Xenopus tropicalis: one gene and its partner. The main gene of each other region encodes a partner of the protein of the gene in region 2 in a complex. Links are inferred from orthologs where the notes say so. Each region holds a gene or a part of one and is shown on either strand. Other genes may lie near its edges.

Region 1 (5,307 bases), on a different chromosome or scaffold from region 2:
GATACTGTGGCGGCTGCGGCTTCTCGCACGTTTGCCCGTCGGGGCAGGAGCAAATGCGGATATGGAGGGTCTGCGCCTCCAAAGTGCCCTGCCGGTCGTATACATTGAGGGGCACGGAGTAGTTGCCCTTTGGGAGGTTTCTAAGCATTACCAGCTCAACAGAATCATCTGGAAGAGAAGGACAATGATTCCATAGCAACACAAATGTAACATTGCACCAACGCACTCCACTTTTGAATTTCAGCAGCTATCTGGTTGCTAGGGTTTTGTTTACCTTGGCAACCAGGCAGTGGTGTGAAGGAGAGACAGGAATATGAATAGGAGAGGGACCAAATAGGTAAGGAATAAAAAGTAACAATAACAATAATATTTTAGTTGTTTGGCTGCCGGGGTCAGTGACCCCCATTTGAAAGCTGCAGAGAGGCAGAAGAGAAAGGAAAATAATAGTAAAACTATAATAAATAAATAATGAAGACCAATTGCAAAGTTGATAGGAATAGGGCATTCTGTAACCTACTAAAAGTCAAGGGATGTTCATCTTTAAGTTAACTTTTAGTATGTTATAGAATGACCAACTTTTCAATTGGTCTTCTTTATTTATTTGTTATAGTTTTTCAATTATTTTCCTTTTTTCCCTCAGTTTTATTGTTATTGTTACTTTTGTAACTTTATTTTCTATTCAGTCCCCTCTCCTATTCATATACCTGTCTCTCATCAAAACCACCCCCTGGTTACTAAGGTAACTTGGACCCTAGCAACCAAATTTTCAATTGGTCTTCATTATTTATTTATTATAGTTTTTTAATTATTTTCCTTTTTTTCCCTCAGTTTTATTGTTATTGTTACTTTTGTAACTTTATTTTCTATTCAGTCCCCTCTCCTATTCATATACCCGTCTCTCATCAAAACCACCCCCTGGTTACTAAGGTAACTTGGACCCTAGCAACCAAATAACTTCCAGCTGCAGAGCTGCTGGACAAAAAGTGAAATAACTAAAAAAACTACAAGTAATAAAAAATGAAGACCAACTGCAAATTGGCTGAGAATATTGGTGTCTGGGACACTAGCTCTGATACTCAGTGTATATCTCTAATCCCTGCCATAAAGCAAGACCAGACTGCTGAAAAAGTAGCGCTACCCATATCCATAAATATTGGCTTTGAAAGGGTGCAAAGTATTAGTGACCCCCCCCCCACTAAAATAACCCACAGACATTTCCCACAGGATCCATGAGACTCACCCGGATTGGTTCTCCCGATTTTCCAGTTATCCGTTGTATCTGGGGAATTATCCGCCAGTTCAAACTGAAAAGGCCCAGAGTACGGGTCCAAGTCCTTGTCGTGGGCGTGAACAGAGAAGGACCGGGGGCCTGGAGCGGAGGAGGCCTGGAGCTGCTCACATGCTTCCATGTACGGGGAGAGCAGGAACGGGGTGTTGTCATTGACGTCTGCTAATAAGAGCGAGACAGTCGTGCTGCCTGTCTGGGGGGGGTCTCCTGCGGGGAAAATACACTCAGTCTGTATATTTGTATTTATACATATGGGTAGGGGGTGCCATAGTGTTTCCCTTAGACAGTACAGTATGGGGGTACAGCTTATTGTGTGCCCAGAACATTCCTTCTCTGTATATTTGTATTTATACATATGGGTAGGGGGTGCCATAGTGTTTCCCTTAGACAGTACAGTATGGGGGTACAGCTTATTGTGTGCCCAGAACATTCCTTCCCTGTATATTTGTATTTATACATATGGGTAGGAGGTGCCATAGTGTTTCCCTTAGACAGTACAGTATGGGGGTACAGCTTATTGTGTGCCCAGAACATTCCTTCTCTGTATATTTGTATTTATACATATGGGTAGGGGGTGCCATAGTGTTTCCCTTAGACAGTACAGTATGGGGGTACAGCTTATTGTGTGCCCAGAACATTCCTTCTCTGTATATTTGTATTTATACATATGGGTAGGGGGTGCCATAGTGTTTCCCTTAGACAGTACAGTATGGGGGTACAGCTTATTGTGTGCCCAGAACATTCCCTCTCTGTATATTTGTATTTATACATATGGGTAGGGGGTGCCATAGTGTTTCCCTTAGACAGTACAGTATGGGGGTACAGCTTATTGTGTGCCCAGAACATTCCCTCTCTGTATATTTGTATTTATACATATGGGTAGGGGGTGCCATAGTGTTTCCCTTAGACAGTACAGTATGGGGGTACAGCTTATTGTGTGCCCAGAACATTCCTTCTCTGTATATTTGTATTTATACATATGGGTAGGGGGTGCCATAGTGTTTCCCTTAGACAGTACAGTATGGGGGTACAGCTTATTGTGCTGTTCCCTGGCTAGGAGAAGACCTGGGGGACGGGGGGAGGCAGTTCAGCCGGTACTTACCATCATCTACCCCGTGAATCACAAAAGCATACAGGGTTTTATTAACATAAGGGGATTCTCGGTCAAGTTCTTTCTTAGTTGTTATGACTCCAGTTTTTTCATCAACTGTCACCCAACCCGCTGGGTCGTTCGCTACGTAGAACCTGCACATTATACAGACAGGAGTGATCTCTACAAAGAATAAACAATTCTAAGCAACTTTTCAATTGGTCTTCATTATTTATTTCTTATAGTTTTTGAATTATTTGCCTTCTTCTGACTCTTTGCAGCTTTCAAATGGGGGTCACTGACCCCGGCAGCCAAACCCTATTGCTCTGTGAGGCTCCAGTTTTATTGTTATTGGTACTTTTTATACATTTTTCTTCTATTCAGCCCCTCCCCTATTCATATACCTGTCCCTCATCCAAACCACTCCCAGGTTGCTAAGGTAATTTGGACCCTAGCAACTCTTTGCAGCTTTCAAATGGGGGTCACTGACCCTGGCAGCCAAACCCTATTGCTCTGTGAGGCTCCAGTTTCATTGTTATTTTTTTTTTATAACTTTTTTTTCTATTCAGCCCCTCCCCTATTCATATACCGGTCTCTCATTAAAACCACTCCCTGGTTGCTAAGGTAACTTGGACCCTAGCGACCAGATAGGTGCTCTCAGCTCTCCAACTCTCTCCATTGGGAAGTGATGGATTCTGGGACTTTAAGCTTCTCTGCTCTCTAGATAACGCATGCTCCACCCACTACAGAAAGCAGAGAGACTTCAAGTCCCAGAATCAATCACTTCCCAATGGAGAGAGTTGGAGAGCTGAGAGCAGCTCTTCAGTCTGGAGTTATAACAGCTATCTGGTTGCTAGGGTCCAAGTTACCTTAGCAACCAGGGAGTGGTTTTAATGAGAGACTGGTATATGAATAGGGGGAGGGGCTGAATAGAAAAAAAAAGTTGGAAAAAAATAACAATGAAACTGGAGCCTCCCAGAGCAATGGGTTTTTGGTTGCCGGGGTCAGTGACCCCCATTTGAAAGCTGCTCTCTAAGCCTCTCTGCTTTCTAGATAATGTGTGCTCCACCCACTACAGAAAGCAGAGAGACTTCAAGTCCCAGAATCCATTACTTCCCAATGGAGAGGGAGGAGCTTCATTACCCTGTGAGCCTTAGTGGGGTGGGGAAATGGTTCCTATGAGCATCAGGGTTCCTTTCAATCTGTAGACTGGTTTATACATTTATATTCACTTCTGGGCGCCCAGACCGTGTTTATGCACCATAACGACACCCCCCAACTGAATAACCTCATGAGTAGGTTCTGCCTTTAAAGGGAAACTTCACCCAAAATTGCATAGTAAAAGAGTCAACGGCTGTTGATGTTCCCTGCACTGCTGGTTGTGACTCCTGAAACCCTGAAGGCTCCATGATAGAGAATAGCAGAACCTGCCTGATGTTGTTGGGCACCCTGTCCGGGTCGGTGGCATTGAGCTTCAGTAGGACAGTCCCAGGCTTCACCCCTTCCTTCTCCCTAAGGGCCACATTCTGGGGCTTGAAGACGGGGGCGTCGTTGTTGTCCAACACTTGGATGTTGATGGTGACGTTGCCCAACACCGGCGACGAGTTGATCTTCACTTTGGAGTTTTGGCAGGAAAACAGCGGCTCCTCGTTCTCGGCGGTGATCACCACTTTTTTGAACGGGGTCCCCTCGAAATCCAGAGGCTGCAACGGGGGAAGAAAAACGCCAAAAGTCCCTAAAGGTTCTATAACGGCAGACGTGGGGGCTTCAAAGCGGCAACAAAAACGCCCCAAAAAGTCATCACCCCCCGAATGTTATAAAAGGCATCATGTTTGCCAAGTGCAGTGACCCATAGTAACCAATGAGATTTTGCTTTTAAAGAGGAGACAGTAAGTGCTGCCTGACGATTGGTTGGACTTGATCACATTTGTCATTGAACATCGGGCAAAGTTGCCCCCCACAGTGCCACAGGGTGTAACTGCCACTTTCTCTCATTCTTAGGGTCATTTTATAACTCTGGTTGTTCTATGAGTTGGCTGCAGGCTGGCCTTATGGGCCCCAGAGCTGACATGCACCCATTGTAACAGCTGTGTTAACATGCTGCCCGACTGAGCCTCCACCCTGCCCAACTGAGCCACCATCCTGCCCAACTGAGCCACCATCCAGCCCAACTGAGCCACCATCCTGCCCAGCTGAGCCATTATCAAGCCCAACTGAGCCACCATCCTGCCCAACCGAGCCATTATCAAGCCCAACTGAGCCATTATCCAGCCCAACTGAGCCACCATCCTGCCCAACTGAGCCACCATCCAACCCAACCAAGCCACCATCCTGCCCAACTGAGCCACCATACAACCCAACCAAGCTACCATCCTGCCCAACTGAGCCATTATCCAGCCCAACTGAGCCACCATCCAACCCAACCGAGCCACCATCCTGTCCAACTGAGCCACCATCCAACCCAACTGAGCCATTATCCAGCCCAACTGAGCCACCATCCAACCCAACCGAGCCACCATCCTGTCCAACTGAGCCACCATCCAACCCAACTGAGCCACCATCCAACCCAACCGAGCCACCATCCTGCCCAACTGAGCCACCATACAACCCAACTGAGCCGTTATCCAGCCCAACTGAGCCACCATCCAACCCAACCGAGCCACCATCCTGTCCAACTGAGCCACCATCCAACCCAACTGAGCCACCATCCAACCCAACCGAGCCACCATCATGCCCAACTGAGCCACCATACAACCCAACTGAGCCATTATCCAGCCCAACTGAGCCACCATCCAACCCAACCGAGCCACCATCCTGTCCAACTGAGCCACCATCCAACCCAACCGAGCCACCATCCTGCCCAACTGAGCCACCATCCTGCCCAACTGAGCCACCATACAACCCAACTGAGCCATTATCCAGCCCAACT
Region 2 (5,307 bases):
TTGGAAAGCATTGCCATTATGTCAGTTGTAAGCATCCTGCAGTATGTAACAGTCATCTTGATTTGTTGCTACAAGCAATAGCAATCTGTGCAGGCAAGATAAAATGATACATTATAAATATGCCTATATGCTGGATTATATAGCTCTTTCTATATCTTGTTACAAGACAAAGAGTATACCACCTAAATAATTGAGCTTGAGTACTATTTAAGGTAGTGGTGCAAAGAATAGAAGTACAGCACTCACACCAGGCCTTTGTAGAAGGCAAAAAAATGCTTTATTGTCCAAACCCTTTGGTATCTACTGTGACTTTTTTGTCACTTTTTTTTCTCACATTTTTTTTTCCTATCTTACAAAAGGTTATAAATGCAGCTCTGGCCTTAGCAGCTAAGCCTCATAGCAAAATGGCACAAGAAACAATGGATCTTTTCAAAGAGCAATGGGAAAGACAAGTTAGAGTCCTTACAGATGCTGTTGATGATATTACATCAATCGATGACTTTTTGGCTGTTTCAGGTAAGTTTTCTTTTACTGAACATTTTTGAGTGAAAAGTATTAAGAAACCAAAGGTTTATCATATGACACAGATTCAGATAGGTGGAAGAGTACTTTAAATGTATTTTAAATGTCTCCCTAAATAGTTTGTTTTTTGATAGTTCAACACTAAGTGCATATAATGTAAAAAAAAAAATATATATATATTTACCCTGTATTTCCCTACTGTAAAACATTAATTTCTTGTGAAAATAGGAAGGTAATGTCTATCTTTTTGTTACAGAAAACCACATTCTGGAGGATGTGAATAAATGTGTCATAGCTCTCCAGGAGAAAGATGTTGATGGCTTGGATCGTACAGCTGGAGCTATTCGTGGCCGGGCAGCAAGAGTCATACATGTGGTCACCTCTGAAATGGATAATTATGAACCTGGTGTCTACACTGAAAAAGTTTTAGAAGCTACCAAGCTGCTGTCCAATACAGGTATAAAAAGAATTGAGATGCTTTGTAATGTGACTTGTTGATGTACTTTTTTTTTTTTTTTTTTTTTAATCCAAATCTGTTTCTTCCTGCATTCTGAATAGAATGTTGCCACTTATGGTCAAAAATAAGATATGCATATTGACTCCCAAAGAGCATAAAACACCCAGCATTCAACTGTATCAAACTTTATTGCAAGCTTTTCTGGGCAGGGAACTCCTATCTGCTGTATACTGAAACTCCTAAGTACTTAGGAAATAGAAATATATGTTTTTCAAACACTGTCATTCACTTCAGGCTCTCAGAATTGGCTTGTAAATACTTAGAAATAATACCGGTACAGTGATTTCCAAAAACATATTCCCACATCCTAAATATGAGAACCACGATTTTTTTTTCAAAATTGACTGTTTTCCCGTGGTCCCCTTCTACTGTACATTATACAGCGAGAGGCAGTGGGTCCTGACAACATCCCTTAAGGCTGGATATAAGAAACTTTCCAATATATGTTCAAAAAGAGTTTTAAAGTTATTTGAAAATGTAATTTACACTTTTGAACTTCTGGCTTTGACTCCTATAGACCTAGCAGAGAACAGACTTCAGTTAACGTTGTCAGCATCAGAAAACAAAAGGAAAAAAAAAAACCAACAATGCTTTTTAGTAGCAATTCTATTTAAGGATCTTTTTTTTTTTTTAATTGATATTAGCTACCATATAGCTACCCTTGCAGCAAAGTTAACTTTTACACACCAGTTCTTTTAAATAGTTATTGTCTGTTTGTTTTTTAATTTACCAAATTTTCATTTCGAAAGTACAAAAGTTTTAGGATTGTTTTATCATTAATATGATTTAAAAGGTGCTAATTTCCTTCTGTTGACTTAAGCTACTTAAGTATATCTGTAACTGTTCTTCTAGTTATGCCACGTTTCACGGAGCAAGTTGAAGCTGCAGTTGAGGCCCTTAGCGGTGACACAAATCAGACCATGGATGAAAATGAATTTATTGATGCTTCTCGACTAGTATATGATGGTATAAGGGACATCCGCAAAGCTGTGCTGATGATCAGAGTATGTAATATTTATTGCATTTAATATTCCTTCATCTAATTTGTAAGCTAATACTTATAGGCCCACTTGGAGGCAGATTTATTAATTTGAGGGTTTTTTTTTTTTTTTTTGGAAAAGGTAATCCTTTTTTTGGGGGGGGTTTACTAAAAAAATCTCAAAACTTATGTTGTGAAAAACCAACTCAAACTTAGTGCCCTTCTTTTTCAATGTCTACCAAGTTGAAAATTGATCTCAGAATTGAAATACAGCCTATTGCCTTCTACATGAGCTTGCCAGCTTTTAGATGCTGAATTTTTTTTTTTTGAGTTTTTGAAACTTTTAGTAACCTTTTGAATTGTCATGCTTAATTTGTTTTACACACAAGGCCATATTCTGTTACTGGTCTATGCTAATACTTTAGTGTCAGCTCCCTGACACCTGCATTGCTAAAAATGCTCCCATGCCCCACCTAGTGGTAGATATGAGAATAGCACTTAATAGTAAAAATCCAAGACCGGCTCAGCCAAATTATGATTCCTTCAGATACGAGGAGTAGGAGAAACAGTAGCTTATTTAGAGCAGTTTTAATGTGTTATTGGTTCAAAAATAAAGTTTAAAATGGTAAACATTTGCTATGTGAACAGAGTAATATAATAAAAAATTATACCATAAAAATCATGACAGAATCTCTAACATGCAAAAAGAGCTGGGATTTTGCAGATTGATTTCTCAAGTGGATTTGTTAACTTTGCTTTACAGACTCCAGAAGAACTTGATGATTCTGATTTTGAAACTGAAGACTTTGATGTGCGAAGCAGAACAAGTGTCCAGACTGAAGATGACCAGCTCATTGCTGGACAGAGTGCAAGAGTAAGTATCCATTCTACAAAACACAAAGTCACAGAAGATAAAGTCCATATGAAGGTGTCTGTGAAATCTTGTGTAACTATATTCTTTTCTGATAGAGTAACATAACATTTTATTTACAGAGCGCTTGACATGTAAAAACTAAGAGAACAGGTTATTCCCCACCAGGACTTAAAATCTAATGCAACTGGGGATGAATTGGGCATGTAGTACAACTTTATAGCAAGTTGTAGGATGTAGAAACAGTGTGAACAGCGTTGTAGTTAAAGCTTAGTTTTTACCTTTCCTTATTCTTTATCTAAAAGGCCTATGTAAATATAGCCATAAACACTTACAGACCTGCTGGTAAGTTTTCAGTGAAAAGTAACCCCACATTTCTTTCCATCTATTCTGTATACATGATCTTCAGTATCAGACTTCCTTTACTTAGAAAAAACCTTCAGGGTACAGCACAAGCCTGCTCATTTTGCCACTATCTCCCCCCTCCCCTCTCTCTATTGAAAGCTGTTCCCTGCCTGCATGCTGCTTGCCTGTAAGTGAAGTCAGACCAAGCTAAAATGGCTGCTGCTATCTTGCCGAATAAATATATCATTCTAGATTGCACTATTGTGACTTCTCTATTGGCAATCAAATGCCTGAGTAGCTTTCCTTCCTCTTTAAGATTAAAACCATTCTACAAAGAGGCCGCATATGACATGAAATTTAGTTTTGCACAGTTTAGTATCAGCAAAAATAGACACTACTTACAGTGCCCAATTCTAGGTTATCAATAAACAAGTTAAAAAGCAAAGGACAAATGACACCCCTGTCCACGAGTAACATTGGTACAATTAAAAGTGATACCATTTACCAACTTTTTTTGGCCAGTTCTCTATCCAAGAACAAATTTGTGATACTGTATCAAATGCTCTCCTCCTCATAAGGCTGGTGGCAGATGGGGAGATTAGTTGCCTGCGATCAATCTTTGATACTGCGGACTACTAATCTCCCCAAAATGCCTGCCCACCAACAAGAATGTGGGAAGGCATTTCAGGGAGATTAGTTGTCAGTGGTAGTAAAGATTTACCAAGGGCAACTAAGTGCCCTGTGTGCCACCAGCTGAAAAGGCAGTTAATAGAATTTCATACCCCTGATGTCAAACTAACAAGCCTATATTTTTAAGGCTGGGAACAGGATCCCTTTTTGAATAGAGATTGGCAAAAGTAAGGAAGAGGTTGGTAATCACAGAGCTAAGCTCTCTTAGTACCCTGAAATGATTACTATCTGGTCTTAGACCTTTATCTTCACATGTTCTAGTATCTCTTGAATTTTCTTCTGAGTCACCCATGCATCGATAGTTATTTATATATTTGAATTGGTTCTTTTTAAAAGAAAGCCCTTCATTAGCCAATGAAAACTGTAGTATTCGGGTATTACTCTTTGTTCTGGCTGTTTTAGAGAAATGTTTCCTTCTTTCACATCTCCTTTTAGGCAATCATGGCTCAGCTCCCTCAGGAACAAAAGGCCAAAATTGCAGAACAAGTGGCTAGCTTCCAGGAGGAAAAGAGTAAATTGGATGCTGAGGTGTCGAAATGGGATGACAATGGAAACGACATCATTGTTTTGGCCAAACAGATGTGCATGATTATGATGGAAATGACTGACTTTACTAGGTGAGTTTTCAAGCTGCAATAAATCCGTATGTTGTACATAATGATGGAATGATAGAATATTTTAATGACATTTTGCCAGTGGATAGCTTTTTTGTTAGGAGTCCCTTCCAGATCTTGCATTATTGAATTTCTGAACCTAACAAGAACTAATTCATCTCGAATAACATTGCCTTTAAGGCAATAAGACACTTGCATAATCTGTGACATAAATTGTATTCAGGCTCTGGCAATATTTTATTTTCACAGAGGGAAGGGGCCACTAAAAAACACTTCAGATGTAATTAGTGCAGCTAAGAAAATTGCAGAAGCGGGATCCCGAATGGATAAATTAGGACGAACTATCGCTGATCACGTAAGTATGGTGCTTGCTACTGAATGGTGTGTATAATGGTGAGCATGTAGATAGTGGCTCACTGATAAGGACTGCTGCCTTATAGAACTGGGGGTCCATAATTTTGTTCTGGCCTGTGCACCCCCTGAAGTATTCCCCTCTAGACTTAGTGCCCCAGGTACACACAACGATAGTGGCACACACAGAGGAGATTTTACGCGTGTGGGAAATTTGAAGTACTGCCACCGACATATCTCCTGAAAATGCCTTTCCGCTTGATATGTAGATTGCCACATGTAACATGAATTATCGCTGAAAAATGCATTTTTGTGTGTTGTAGTCTGTGGCAGCTATTGCAATTTTGATACTTATTACATTGTTTTGTCACATTTTGCCATGTGTCTACTGTGGAGGATTGCTGTGACTTCTAGTACA

The links.
Region 1: ctnna1 (region 2) and cdh26 share a complex: the UniProt entries of both Homo sapiens proteins name them as parts of the cadherin:catenin adhesion complex. The link is inferred for Xenopus tropicalis from reciprocal best matches to the Homo sapiens genes CTNNA1 and CDH26.

The regions. Positions count from the first base shown.
Region 1 is NC_030686.2:3,561,211-3,566,517, reverse strand, and holds part of cdh26 (cadherin-like protein 26), read right to left. Parts: intron 4,082-5,307; coding exon 3,810-4,081; intron 2,534-3,809; coding exon 2,391-2,533; intron 1,496-2,390; coding exon 1,241-1,495; intron 169-1,240; coding exon 1-168. UniProt on the Homo sapiens protein: Cadherins are calcium-dependent cell adhesion proteins. They preferentially interact with themselves in a homophilic manner in connecting cells; cadherins may thus contribute to the sorting of heterogeneous cell types.
Region 2 is NC_030679.2:20,007,871-20,013,177, forward strand, and holds part of ctnna1 (catenin alpha-1), read left to right. Parts: intron 1-359; coding exon 360-516; intron 517-778; coding exon 779-979; intron 980-1,891; coding exon 1,892-2,043; intron 2,044-2,781; coding exon 2,782-2,892; intron 2,893-4,359; coding exon 4,360-4,541; intron 4,542-4,787; coding exon 4,788-4,893; intron 4,894-5,307. UniProt on the Homo sapiens protein: Associates with the cytoplasmic domain of a variety of cadherins. The association of catenins to cadherins produces a complex which is linked to the actin filament network, and which seems to be of primary importance for cadherins cell-adhesion properties.